2 linked regions of the Rhinolophus ferrumequinum genome follow. The protein of the gene in region 2 purifies or fractionates together with the protein of the main gene of each other region. This does not show direct contact. Links are inferred from orthologs where the notes say so. Each region holds a gene or a part of one and is shown on either strand. Other genes may lie near its edges.

Evidence for each region. The genes of interacting proteins can lie anywhere in the genome.
Region 1: the proteins of SRPK2 (region 2) and SON purify together in Homo sapiens (affinity purification with mass spectrometry; 4 studies listed by BioGRID and IntAct, with this or other methods). This does not show direct contact. The link is inferred for Rhinolophus ferrumequinum from reciprocal best matches to the Homo sapiens genes SRPK2 and SON.

What each region holds. Positions count from the first base shown.
Region 1 is NC_046285.1:99,475,802-99,482,817, reverse strand, and holds the start of SON (protein SON), read right to left. Parts: upstream 3,007-7,016; 5' UTR 2,737-3,006; coding exon 2,660-2,736; intron 1-2,659. Other genes in the region: GART (trifunctional purine biosynthetic protein adenosine-3), read left to right, coding at 6,041-6,185. UniProt on the Homo sapiens protein: RNA-binding protein that acts as a mRNA splicing cofactor by promoting efficient splicing of transcripts that possess weak splice sites.
Region 2 is NC_046303.1:48,818,212-48,826,218, reverse strand, and holds the start of SRPK2 (SRSF protein kinase 2), read left to right. Parts: upstream 1-4,992; 5' UTR 4,993-4,995; coding exon 4,996-5,122; intron 5,123-5,455; exon of another isoform or gene 5,456-5,572; coding exon of another isoform or gene 5,573-5,588; intron 5,589-5,678; coding exon 5,679-5,733; intron 5,734-8,007. UniProt on the Homo sapiens protein: Serine/arginine-rich protein-specific kinase which specifically phosphorylates its substrates at serine residues located in regions rich in arginine/serine dipeptides, known as RS domains and is involved in the phosphorylation of SR splicing factors and the regulation of splicing.

The sequences.
Region 1 (7,016 bases), on a different chromosome or scaffold from region 2:
TAATTGGGGTAAAGTGTGTGTGTGTGTGTGTGTGTGTCTTGAAGTGCACATAATCATCCATCATCTATATACACCACAAGTGGTCACTATCAAAAGTCTAGACAGATACCATCATCTATCGCCACACCATTGACCCCTTCACCTCTTCCTCCCTCTTCCCCAACATTCTCCCCCTCTCATAACCACCACTCTGTTTCCTGTATCTATGAGTTTGTTTTTGTTTTGTTCATTTGTTTTGTGGGTTTTGGGTTTTTTTTAAAGGTTGTTTTGTTTTGTTTTACAAGAATCTTAACAAACGTAAGAACATGTCATTTACATGGTCATTTCCACTATTTTTGTATAAATTTGCAAAATTGTTTTAAAAAATAATTTCAAGAACACATTCAATTTAACTTACATTTTAGCTAACAAAACAGATGGAATTATGCTCCACTACCTGATGAAAAGTCTGAATGATCAAAAAAAATTGGTAGTTAACTAATTAAGGAACATTTGGTTTTCTAATACAATGATGCACATAATTAACATTTGTTGACTATTAGTGTCACAAGGTTCTACATTTTTTAAACTCATTTAATTCTAATGAGACCTTAAGATCAGCACTATTATTCTGATTTTATAAATAAGGAATATGAGGCACAGAAAAGACAAGAAACCTTGCTGTAGGTCACACAGCTATTAAGAGGTGAAGCTGCTATTCAAAGCCAGAGCTCATCCTCTTAACCACCATCTATATATAATAAACAACCTATTTTAACTATCTAAATTTCAGTCTCCTTACTGAAATTGACATATGTAAAAATAGATGGGACATAAAGCTCATGGAAATGGCAAATATCAAAAATCTGTTTTTCGACCGATAATGTATTACATGTTATTTGAGGAGCTGAATATTCCTCTAGTAATAAATTGCTTTCTCTGATATTCTTTAGAATTTCCTTCCAAAGCACTTTTCCTAAGCACTTACACATACGTAATTACCTCACTAAAAAGGCAACAGATTTAAAAATCAGAAAAGTACAACTAAAAAAAGTCAGTCTATGAGAAAGTAACCATCTTAAAGCTATCAGGATGTTTTCCTCAAAAGGGATGAAAATTTCAAACCATTAAACATCCATCAACACATTCCTACAGAATTCTACGGAACCATGAAAAAAATGTCCCATAAGTCCCAAAAGACTATGGAGATTGATTAAAGACAACCTTGCTCACAATATATTAGGTGAAAAAACAACCAACACAAGATAATCACATATCACAAGACATGTATGTGCATCTATCCACACAGGAAAAAAAAAAAATCAAAGAACATCAATAACTGTGGTGGTTTTTAATTTTGTTCCTTTTAAACTTTTTAAAATTTTTTCACAACAAAACACTTTCTAACACAAAAACCGATTTTAAAAGGTATAAAAGACATTACAATAAGCAAACACAACCACTTACTGCACGAGACTATTAGAATGTATCCCCCCCAAAATATATGTATTACATATTCCCTTAGCTCAGGTCTTTTCCCATCATCCTGAAAATACAAGCATGTAACAAAATTTTTGAAAGCAATGGAATGAGTAAGCGGATATATTTCCCATTTAAAATACAATATATCCTGTAAAAAATAATCCTAGCAATACTATATCGTTGCTCCAATAACGCTGTTAACTCGAGCGCTTAATTTACAATTGCGTTTTCCGTTGATTTTTATTGCTCCTGCTCTCAACTTTTAAACTAAAACTAGCAAAAACATTTGGACTCGGAACAAATATTTACGTTATACAAAGCAAAAAATACTGAAAGACAACCAGTGAACAACCACATTACCCACACTATTTTCCTCTGAGTAAACAACTATTTCTTTGGAACTCTCTCCTCGTTCAAATTTTGTGGAACCAAGGATAAACTACGTAGTCTACCAGCAATGGCAAAATGGAATGTGTTGTTCAAATATATCAATTGGGGCAACGATAGCAAATAAAAATTTAGATCTACACACAAAGCCCATCTTTCACTTGCTAAATTAAGAAATTAGTAGTAATTCAAAGTCCCCTTCCATCCTCAACTCGAAATTTTTGTCAAAGCAGCTAACATTAATTGAGTTTTTTTAATTTGAATTCCGAAACTTACAATGCTGCCTGGTGGAAGCCACAGGACACTAGGGCCCAAATAATCTAATTAGAGGATCCCGACCCCCAAATGGTCTGAAGCATGCAGTAAAAAGCGGATTTAAGTTTAGTCAAAAAAACGGCCGTTAGAGACCCTTTCCGGTCATAGGCACCGACCGGCGAAATCCGCGGAGGCTGAGAGGGGGAGGGGAAACGCGGCGGCGGAGGAGGAGCTGAGGAGGAACTAGGCCCGTCCCTAGTGGACAACCAGGCCTACTAACTAAAGGGTAGGGGACGACCAAACGAGAGAGAAGAGTGAGCTTCTTAACTCGGTCCTGGAGAAGAGTCTGGGATTACCTCGGAAAGAGCGAAGTTCCTCGCTGGGAAGGGAGGGAGCGGATGGGGGTGGGGGGGGCGGAAAATGGATCCCAGGCCCAGGCGGGGCTGTAGCGGGGCCTGAGGCAGGGAACGACGGCGTCTCTGAATAAAGGTGGTATGGAAGACTACATGATGCCCTATCGATCCCTTGGGAGCAGAAGAGTCTGGGAAGCGCCTACCTTGAAAGCTCCTGTTGAATTTCCCGGAATTTACTGACCACGAAAGACCTAAAAATCTGCTCGATGTTGGTCGCCATGGCGTCCGCTCCGTTCTCTCAACTCCTCCTCGCTAGTCCTCCAGGCTCCCAGAATGCCTCGGGAGGAGGCGCAGGGGCCAATTCCGTCTCTCGCAGTCCTGATTGGCTCCTGTGGGAGCGTCCGGATCTGCACGCTCTGCCAATGTACCAATCAGTGAGCACGGCCCTGCTCTCCTCCGCTGTTTCTGAGCGGCTTGGGTAGAGCTGCTGACGTTTGCGCCGCGCACGACTCTGTCCGCCATGTTAGTGACTGACGCAGGCGCCATTACAGGAGAAATCTCTCGAGGCGACTTTGTCAGTTTAAGTTGTCAGTCCCCAACAATGTTTGGAAGCTTAAGAGGCTTACTTTAGCCACTAAACTCCCGAGATTAAATACTATGAGGAAAGGGGGTAAGAAGGGCAACACGTTGGATACCGGGCCTCCGACATTCCCAAGTTGTTTCAGCAAGGGAGATGCATCCGGGAAAGCATTAATCAGCGCCCGCCCCCACTGAGATGCCAATAGGAAGGACACGATTTTACCCCATGATAGCCTATAATCAGTTTTGTTTTTAAGCAATAGGAAGTCTTGCGCGACCTGCGTTCAAAGCCTGGTGCATGCTAGTCAGGAGCCAGGCGAGACTATCACTGTAGCTGCTCGATTCTGACTCGTTAGCAACACACAATTAGCTAAGTGTGGATTCAGCGTTTTGGGACACTCCCCCTCCTCAGAGACCGGGACGCTCTCCGGGAGGAATAAAGACCTTAGGTGGCACCTGATGCTGTAGTATCACATAAGCACGCAAGGAAGGGCTTGCTAGCTTTGCGCTGGAGTGGGCTCAGGCCGCACCCAAGAATGGGAGGGAACACACTGATTACCTCGCGGCAGAGACCACGGTTTGCGTTGACCAATGGGGAAGCGAAGCCCACCGCGGGGCGGGCCCGGAGCGGGGAGGAGGCGCGCGCCCCGGATCCCGGTGGGCTGACTTCCGGCGCGCGCGGGCGCTCGAGCTCCAAGCGCGCAGTCGAACTTGTGAGTGCCAGCGGCCAGAAGGCCTTGAGTCGACATTGTGTTCGTGCGTAAGCCCTCGGCGCTTTTAAGTAAAGTACATTTATGCTTTGGTTTGGGGATCTAATATTAGGAATTGAATGAACTAACTCCAGTTGTGAGATAGCTGTAGAAACTGGTTTGGCTATAGGAATACTCAATTTTTAAATGCACTGAGTGGGGGTTCGCCATGTGCTTTTCATTTTTAACTGAGGTTTACATTGGATCTGTCACTTTCCCTGCTTTCTAAGATTCAGGCCTTTTGTATCTTTATGCTTCTTTTTTTAGGTCATAAATATAAGTTGTATATTTTCTTGTTATGCACCCATTGTGTCTAGCAGATTAGTCCACCTCTGTAATTGGTTTTTACTTTATGTTACTCACCAAATCCATTGAAAGCCAGGCTTTACCTGGCTCTCTTCATCTCGTTATGTTACTCACTTGGATAACTGAGGCCCGAGAAAGTTAAGTCCCTCAACGTATCCTGGTTAATAAGGGACAGTGTCTCAACCCAAACCAAGGCACCCGGATTAGAGCCTGGGCCTGACCACTCCTGGTGTAGATTCGTTCAGGCTGAGTCTTCTCTTCCCCTTCTTGTTCAAACAAAATGTAATATTTTCTCTAGTTTTAAAGCTGTGTTTCTTTCAGATGTTTCAATGCACATGGCAAATCTGTGTTTTCTGTTAAATTAAAATAACTTTTTCCTTTCTGAGAAGATAATTTAGTAATTTTTTTCCCTCAGGTTTTCAATGACCACCATCTCCTTGTTACAGTATCTGATGAAAAATTGCTTCAGTTGCAATACATGAGCTCTGACCTGCAAGTTACTTAACCTAACTGTACCTCAGTTTCTTATCTGTAAAATGGGGATGGTAATAGTATCACATAGAATTAGGAAGATTAAGCAAAGTAGTTCATGAAAAGCGTCTAGAATGTAGCATCTGGCACAAAGTAAGTGCTCAAAAAGTGTTAGTTTTTTCTATTATCAACTTAGGTTTTTATTTAAATGTGTAATCCTAGCATCTCACAAGAAGTTACAAATTTCAGTTTTCTTTTTCCCATTTTCAGTTTGCCTTCTACGTAATTAAATGTCTTCTGAAAATTAGTAAATTAATTTGCCAAATTATTCATTCCTTTTGCTTTTTTTTCTGTTAGAACTTCTAACTTCTAAAGTATTACTTTAAGTAAAAGTACTTAATAAAATATAACAAGTTAGCATTTACTACTGCTGAATGTCAGAAATTGTACTAATTGTTTATATAAATACCCTTCCAGTTCATCCTTAAGTAACCTTGTAAGGCAAATTTTCTCCCATCTTTTAAGATGTGAAGAAATTGAATTAGAAATAATAAGAGCTTACCCAAAGTCACACTGCTAACCAGTGGAGAGATAGCTGTTGCCCCATCCTGCTCAGAATCAAATTCCAGAACAATGTGAGACATATTCAAATTTGATTTTTGCCTTCTCTACTGATTTTCTAAAATACTGCACTAATTTCTTAAATCGGAGGTCAGCAAACTATGACCTTTATGCCAATCCTTCCTGTCAACTGTTTTTGTACAGCCCACCAAATAAGGATAGTTTTCACGTTATTAAATGTTTGGGGGAAAAAGAACGGTGTTTTTATGACACGTGAAAATTAAAATTCAAATTGCAGTGTCCATAAACAATAGTTTTATTAAAACACAGCCATGCTTATTCTTTATAAACCTCTGATTACTTTCTATTGCTTAGAGCAGAGATAGCCAAACTATGACCTACTGCCCATGGCCTGCCTGTTTCTGTAAGTTTTTACTGGACATAGCCACATTTATTTATTTATATATTGTCTATGGCTGTTTTCATGCTACAGCAGATGATCACAAGATTTAAAAATAGTTATTTTGAGTTCTGGTCTAGATGTAAAACATCAGGATTCATTTTTAACTGAGGCTCGATTATTATATCTTCTAAAAACCCAGAAGGTTATTGTTCATACAAGGTTTGTTTTTTGTGTTTTTATTAATCCAATAAGGAGTTAAAGTCACCATTTTACTCCTTAACTTAGCTCTCTAGGCCTGTCTGCCTCATTTTTAAAACACCTCCCTAATCATGAATACAGTCATATTTCTCATTATTTCATTTCTCAAATTCATCCTAACTTTTCACAAATGAATTGTTGGAATACATCATATTTAAAAATTGTTATTTCTAAAGTATGTGCATTCTGAAATACCGATTGTGGTTTTCTTTCTGCAGCTCTCATTTTCCTTCTGAATTCCTACTTTGCAGACAGCAATGGCAGCCCGAGTACTTGTAATTGGCAATGGAGGAAGAGAACATGCACTGGCGTGGAAACTTGCACAGTCTAATCATGTCAAACAGGTGTTGGTTGCCCCAGGAAATGCAGGCACTGCCTGCTCTGAAAAGATTTCAAATGCTGGTAATCATGTTTTAATTATAAATGATAAACTGTCAACTGCATCTGTTTTTTATAAGGTCAATTGCTATTCAGATGTGAATGCTTTTCTTAACCTTAAAGTTTATGAGGTAATTTGAATGTTTGCCATATATTGTAAATGTAAGGTATACTGTTGTTCGGTATGTGGCATTTTCTTATCTTAAATTATTTTAAACCTTATAAAACACATCCATTAAAAAAGTCACACATGCCCAATGTAGGTAGGTTAAAGGCATTTTAATGTGTAGTTTTGGACATGAAAAGTTGAGCAGTGCTATTAAGTTCTGGCAATTCTATCTCCATCATAGGTCTCAGCCTTTATCTCTTTAACTGGTAAAAATGAAAAAATGATCAGTTCTTATGCTATATTAAACTCTTCAGTGGCTTCCTATAGCACTTAAAATAAAACTCAAAAGTCCTTAGTGTTCCTGATGAAGCCCTTTGTGATCTAGCCTGTGCCTGCCTTTCCGGTATTATTTGTCATATCCTTTGTTTTCTTTTCACTGTGCTCTAGCCATGCAGGCTGCCAGTTTCCCAAACAGAGCTGCCTAGGCCTTTGTATTTGTTCCCACCTCCAGCATTAGTGGCTCCTCATTATTTCAGATCTCAGCTTATATGTTATCTCCTCAAAGAGGACTTTCCTAAAGTTTCTAAGTAAAGCATGTCCACCTCACATTTTATTTGTTTGCGATTGTGAACCATTATCTATATTTATTTTTTACTTGTCTATTGTCTGTCTCCTACCTTCACTTCACCCCTAGAACGTAAGCTGTAGGAGGTAAGCTACATCAGGGCAAGGAATTCAACTGTCTT
Region 2 (8,007 bases):
ATACGCATATGTATAATAGCTAATGCTTATTGAACACTTAGATCCTTCTCTAAGCATTTGATGTGAAATAACTCATTCAATCCTCGCAACAAATGTATAAGGTACAAATGTATAAGGTAGGTAATATTACTGTGTACATTTTGCAGATCAGGAAACTGAGTAACTTGCCCAAGTTACCCAGCTAGCTAATGGCAGAACTAGGATTTGAACCCTGGGAGTCTGGCTCCACTACTCTGTACTCTAATGTCTTTTCTTTTTTTCTTTTTAGATTTTATTGGGGAAAGGGAACAGGACTTTATTGGGGAACAGTGTGTACTTCCGGGACTTTTCCAAGTCAAGTTGTTGTCCTTTCAATCTTAGTTGTGGAGGGCGCAGCTCAGCTCCAGGTCCAGTTGCCGTTTTCTAGTTGCAGGGGGCGCAGCCCACCATCCCTTGTGGGAGTCCAACCGGCAACCTTGTGGTTGAGAGGACGCGCTCCAACCAACTGAGCCATCTGGGCACTGGGAAGCTCAGCGGCGCTCATTGACTTCATTCTAGTTGTGGAGAGCGCAGCTCGCTGGCCCATGGGGGAATCGAACCGGCAGCCCGGTTGCCCAGAGCTCCCGCTCTAACCAACTGAGCCACACCCGTCTGCCCCCTTCTGTACGCTAATTTCTGTGTTACACTGCTGTTACAAGGGTGCCGGTGCCCCTGAGAAATACACAGTAATGAAATAACAAGAGACAGGCCTAAGCTTCATAATAAAAAGTGTAGATCAGATATAAAGTAATTTTCCTAAAAATTTAAGTGATGGAGAGCCTTTAGAAGGAGGCCAGGTTCTCACCCACTACAGGCCCCAAGATGGATTATATGACCTCTCAAATCTGTTTCCAATTCTATGGCATATTGAATATATCTCCTAAGATTCACACACATACGCGCGCGCGCGCGCGCGCGCGCGCGCGCGCACACACACACACACAGCATGATTTAGTAGCTGTACTTGGAAATATCAGAGAGTGGTTGGATTTACAGCATTCTGTAATTTTCTCTTGTATTTGGTAAAAATTAATATGATACTTTTGTCTTGAATTCTGTTGTACTAGGTTGGGGGGAAATGCATATGTACTGCCCTTTTCACTTCTTTTGGACTGTTACAGAGCTCTAATACTTCCCCTTCTGACTTATAATATTCACATAATTAATTATTTATGTAGCCATAAATGATGGTAGAATAAAAAAATTAAACCCATACTCTATTACTCTTTTCCTTTCCTTTTTTGGTATTTCCTTTAAAATGTCATTCTAAATTATGATGCATCTTAAAGAAAACTTTAATTTATACATTGGCAGAGACTAGGTCTTTAATTTGTTATTCTTTCTTTAAGCATCTAATATAGTACATGTTAAGGTGCTTATTGACAATTAGGTTGGTTTATTTTAATTTAACACATTCAAAGCAATTCACAAATATTCTCAGTGGCAAATAGAGCTCTCTCCTAATTTATAGAAGTAAAAAAGACTAGACCTTAAAGACTTTAGGTCTTTGTTACCTTCTCAGGGACTTTCCTAAACACTTTCCCAACAGGTTACTGTTTTGTTTTTTTGTCCTTTTCATAGATGTTACTGCCATTTACTATAGTAAGCATAGTTTATATCTATTTTACATATTTAGTTTATTTTCTGTCTTCTGGCAGTAGAATGTAAGCTCCATGAGGGCAAGGAGATTTTTGTGTGCTTTTGTTCACTGCTGTAGACTCAATATCTAGAATAATGCCTGCTATATAATAGGTGTTTGGTATGTATTTGTTGAATAAATGAATACAAGAGATCCAGCAAACAGATTGGATAATCTTTCTCAACCATTGTTAATGATAATTCGTATTTATTGAATATTTTCTTATCTTCTTTGATTATCATATTGATCTAGGATGGTCGGTATTAATATTATTACTGTTTTCCAGTAATTAAGTAACTTGCCCAATGTTATTCAGAAATTAAGTAGCAGAAATTGGTTTCAGCATTAAGTGAAAGAAGACAGTCACAAAATGCCACATATTGTATGATTGTGTTTATATGATTTGTCCAGAATAGGTGAGTCTATAGAGACAGAAAGGAGATCAGTGGTTGCCTAGGGCTTGGGCAAAGGGAGGTTGGGAGAAGAAGCCTAATAGGTATGTAGTGAGTATCTCTTAGGAATGACAGAATGTTTTAAAATTAGACTTTGGTGGTGGTTGCACACCATGTGCATATACTGAGAACCATTGAAGTTTGAACTTTAAATGGGTGAATTGTGTGGTATGTGAATTATGTCTCAATAAAGCTGTTAAAAATAAAAAACTGATTTTAAACTCAGATTTCTCTGGTTTAAAGCTTCTAATCACCTTCTGTAAGGAGCCAAAACTGGAGAAATGGCTGGTTCTGGTTCCTGGTTGGGGAAAGCACAGGTTTCCTGGAATATCATGTGCTAGAAAGTAAACAGGTACTCAAAAACTGGGACATGTGCAAAGGATTGCAAGTGGAAAGTGTCTTCCCTGGTCAAATATAAGATAATTCAAGAATCAAAAATTAAGGTGATAGTAATTACTGTCAATATTGCTACTAAAAACAAAAACAAAAAAGCCAAAAACAAACAGAAAACAGAGGTGGTGGGAACGAAATGAAAGCTTTCCTCACATAAAAATATCACCTAATTAGCATAGATGGAACAGATGAAATGATAGGAGTGTAATATCATTCTACAACCACTATAGTAATAATTGATTCAGGCAAGCATCATGAATGGATGCTAACACAAAGAGTGAAAGATTCTAGGGGAAAGGCTCACACAGTCTCAAAGTATTATCCCACAGATTACTTAAAAAACAAAACAAACAAACAAACAAAACAACTGAGGTGAAATTCACATAACATGAAACTGACCATTTTAGAGTGAACAATTCAGCAGCATTTAGTACATTTACAGATAGAGGTGGCCACCACCACCTCTACCTAGCTCCAAAACATTTTCCTCACTACAAAACAAAACCCTGTACCCATTAAGCAGTGGCTCCTCATTTCCCTCCCCCCAGCCATTGCCACCACCAAACTGCTTTCTGTGGATTTGCTTATTCTGGACGTTTCATAAAATTGACTCATAATATGTGACTTTTTGTGCCTGGTTTCTTTCACTTGGCATGGTTTTGAGGTTCATCCATATTGTAGCACATTGTATCAGCACTGCATTCCTTTTTATGGCTGAAAAATATTTCATTGTATGTCTTTACCACAATTTGTTTATCCATTCATACATGGGTGGATATTTTTGGGTTGTTTCTAACCTTTTGGCTACTGTGATTCATGCTGCTCTGACCATTTGTGTACAAGGATTTGTTTGAGTACCTAGAACCATAGAATTGCTAATAATTCATTGGTTAGCTTCTTGAAGAACTGTAGCACTATTTCCCACAGTGATTGCACCATTTTACATTCTCACCAGTAATGTATGAGGATTCCAATGTCTCTACATCCTTGCCAATACTTATTTTCCATTAAAAAAAATTATAGTCATCCTATTAGGTGTGAAGTGCTATTTCATGTGGTTTTGCTTTTTCATTTCTCTAATGATGTTGAGCACGTTTTCATCCACTTGTATATTTTCTTAGGAGAAATGTCTGTTTCTTGAATCTGTTGCCCATTTTTCACACAGACTAGTTTTCAAATACAAAAGAAAAAAGTACCTTCACCATGGAGAAATGATTAAATGTAACATCATCAATAATGGAACAAACTGACGTGATATCCTTTCTGTAGTGGCAATGTGCTAAGACGGATACAATATCATCTAGATAGAGTGCCTGATACAATTATTTAACTTGACTCTAATAGAGAACAAACTGAGGAGCATTCTGCAAAACAGTGGAATTGGATTCTTCCAAAGAGTCAATGTTATAACAGAAAAAACAAAACAAAACCAGGGATTACTCTAGACTAAAGGAGTTTAAAAATACATAACAAACTAAGCGCAATGCTTGATCCTTGATTGTATCCTGGATTGGGGGGAAAAAAGTGAGCTATAACAGACATTTTGAGAATTTGAATATGGCTTCGGTATATTACAGATAATAGTATTAATATTAAATTTTCTTGGAGTAATAATGGAATTCTGATTATGTAGGAGAATATCTTTGTTCTTAGTAGATATTTATTGAAATATTCAGGGGTAAAGGATAACGATGTCTGTGAAAAACTCAAATGATTCAGTAAAAACAAAATAACCAAACAAAAGCCCCATACACACCACACACATATACATAGGTAAAGCAAATGTGGTGAAACCTTAAAAATTGGTGAATAGGGGTTAACATGGATGCTCATTATACTTTACTCGTAACTTTTCTGTAGGTTTAATATTTTTGAAAAAAAGTTGAGAAAGTAAAAAGCTCTTGAAGTCCAAGCAGAACTTTTTGTTCTTTGGGTTTAGCGTCTTTAGAATAAAGGCTAGCTACTTTGGTCAGTTAAGAATACCGTTGTGTAACCAAAGAGAGAGTAAATGATCCGGGTTATCTTTCAAAGTATTATAATTACTTAAATAAAAAAGAAAACATTGCAGTTATCATTTTGTCCCACCATCAACTTAATTCACATCTTTATTAGGAAGCATGCATGATACGCAGAAAGTTTGGATCAGCCAGGCCTAAATTTGAATCATTGCTAAGTAAACTGTTTGACCTCTTTAGGACTCAGTTTCCTCACTGTAAAAAGGAAAAAATAATTACTTGGTGGGGTTGTTGTGTTACACAGTCGTACACATGGTATTTATTGAGCGCGGCTTGAATTAACGTGTAAAAAGCGCCAACCTACTTTCCATGCTATTTGCAACTTTTCCTTCATTAAAGTCAAGCAATCCTGTGGGGTAAGTAAAGGCGAGAGATAAGATGACTTCTCCAAGGTCACACAGCTAGTGAAGGACCCAGGTTGCCCAGCTCTTGGTCCTGTGACCTTTCCACACTCGCCCGAGGGGAGAAAGCGGCGCTCATGGGGATGCAAGGATGTAGAGGAGCCAAGGGGGAGAAGAGGCCGCGCGAAGAGCGGTGGTGTGAGACCCGCGGAGGCGCGGGCCAAGGAAGGGCACATGGACAGGCGGGCCGCGCCACTGGCCGGGGTGAGGCTGTGGCTGGAGAACGAGGGTCGCGCGGCCGGGTGCGGGTGAGAGGCGGGAGGCCCGGGCCAGCCGCGGGGGCGCGAGAGGCGGAGGCCCCGGCCGCGGGAGGGGGCGGGGAGGCGAGGGCCGGCGCGGCGGAGGTCGTGGGGGGTCGTTTCCGCACCCGCGGGGCGGGCGTGGGGGTGCGGGGCGCGCGGAAGGAACCGGGCGCGGGGGTCAGGACCCCACCGGGTGGGGGGGCGGGGCGGGTCTGGCCGGGGGCGGGTCTTGCTGGGTCCCCCGCGGGAGCGGCGGCGGCAGCAGCAGCGGCGGCGCAGGCGCGGTTCCCGCCTCCTCCCGGCTGGCGGAGCGAGTGGAGGCTGCAGCCCGGCTCCGCTCCCGCGTCGCCGCCGCCGCCACCGCTGCGGCCGCCGTCGCAGAGCCCCCCCGCCCTCCTTCCGCCGCGTCGGTATGAGCTCCCGGAAAGGTGAGTGGCCCACGGCGTCCCCTCTTCCCTGCCACGCGGCCCCGCAGGCCGGCCTGCCTGACCGTTAATGTATGTCTCTTCTTTCCCCAGTGCTGGCCATTCAGGCCCGAAAGCGGAGGCCGAAGAGAGAGAAACATCCGAAAAAGTGAGTCCACGCGGCGCTAGCACCCGGATCCCCGCCCCCGGCCGGTCGGGGGCAGCCCGCGACGGTGCCCGGGAAGTTGCCCGGATCCCCAGGGCCAGCGGGCAGGCTGATTCCCAGGGACGCGGGCGCTAGCCTCCTGCGCGCCCCGCGGGCGGCCCGGGGGGAGGGGCGGAGGGCGGGGGAGGGGCGCGCGCGAGCCCGCGGCCGGCGGGTTGAGCATCCCCGGGCGGTCCCTGGGACCTAAGTCGCCGCGGCCGTCGGGGCGGTTGGATGAGGAGGTGCCGGGCGTGCGCCCGGTCGCCTGCGCGCCGAGCTGTCCCCGGAGGTCGCAGGCCTTTCCCCGGAGGGGCGCTGGCGCCGGCTGCGGCATGAGGCTGCCTACCTGCTCCCACCTGGGCACCGGGGCTCGAGAGAGGAGGAGCCGAGTGTACGAGAGAGTGCGTGTGTGAGTGTGTGTGTCGCGTCCTCGTCCTCCCCGGCCCTTGCCTGTCGGCTGAAAACCCGAGCCAGTTGTCAAGAGGTTCGCTCCGGGAGTGTTCCTGGCGCGAGTTCAACGCTGAGACCTGTGCATTTCGGCGCTTGGGTTTGTATTCGAAACTTTGTGCTTGGGCCGAACGTGACTGCTGCGCTGGACCGGTGGGCGTGTGCGCGGGCGGTCCCCGGCGCGGCTTCCCGGCCTCTCATTGTGCCGCGAGTTGATGAATAGGGTGGTGATATTTAAAACGTGCCAGTCGCCGGCCACCTCCAGCCTGGCTGCGGACCGTAGTGGGAGCGGCCGGCTCCCGAGAAGCCTTTCCTGGAGAGCTGCTCCGAGACTGCAGAGCGCCGCCGCCTCTTTTTCCTTTTTCTCTTAATTAAAAAAAAAACATCTGCCAGCGTTCAACATCTTTACTCTGTCTAGATTTGTGGCTTTGCTCTTCTTTTTGAGCAAGGAAGGTATTTTTGGTACTATGAGGAATGACAGTCCATGATCTTTTAATAAAATCACCAAGTATTTCCTTTTTGTTTCCTTTCGGGGGGGCTGCCTGCAGCATTCCTAGACTTTCTTCTTTCCTGGTCGCCTTGGTCTCCGCTTAGCAAATTTCGTACCCGTTGGTATCTATGCAAACTGCCTAAGTTATTGCTAATGTATATCATGATATTATTATGACAGGAGTTTTGTTCCTTTTAAATGGAATATAATTTGAAACTATGTTCAGGATTTCACAAAATATGGATATCCACCTAATGCCTCAAAAAACTTACAGAGTGTGGGAAAAATACTTAAATTAAGAACTTAAGGAACTGATGGGTAATTTGGTAGTTTTAGATGCTTTAAAACAATTAATGCTAGCTTTCAAGTCAATCTTCAATCTGGGATTTCCTTTGATGAACGATTAAAGTTGAGCCAGTAGGTAAGGCGAACTAATGTTTAGGATCTTGAGTTTTAGTCACAACTTTCAATTCAAAGCATTTATTTCCACATTGCTCATTATGTTCAGAAACGTAAAAAAGAATTGAAAAAACCCTGCCCCCAATTTTGGGGAATGACTCTGTGTGTATATATGTATACTTATGTGTATGTATATATACATATGTGTGTTAAATATATGCATACATACAGAAAAACAGTTTTAGTTAAGTCAATGTGTGTAGCATATTTTCATATTTCAGGGTATGACTTTCCTAATGGCTAAGAGCCTTTTTTTGGTGTGCTGCAGTTTGGATTTATGTGGTATGTTTATAAAGAATTAGTGTGTATCCAAGTATTCAACTGTTACTCACAGATTAATCTGTCAGTTTCTTCTATTGTCTGTTGTATGTATTTGATAAGCTTTGAGGGAAATCTCCCCTCCCCCCCGCCAGTGACTAAATTAACTGGTTAGTCTGCAAGGTAATTAATTAGCAAGAGCAGATTGGTCCAATTACATAAGTGTTTGATTAAGACAATGTCATTTTTAACTTAATCCTTTGAATCAAGATATTATTTTAAAGGAATGCTTGATATGATTTATGTATTCATGTATTCAATAAGTATTTGCATGCCTTTCCTAGGAGGCGGTGATAGAGCTTTGAACAAGCTGAACAAAGCTACTCCTGAAGCTTATATTCTATGGGGGTTTGGGGAGAATTCCAAAGAAGATGGATTGTGAATGGATTGTGGAGGACGGGAGAGGTACATAATGGGAGCTGGCCAATTATAGTACTTGGGAAACCATGGTGACTTGGTTTAGGGTGTAAAGAGTGGCACGCTGGAGAGAAGAGCTGGTGGAAGAGGGACTTGGGGAGACTGGG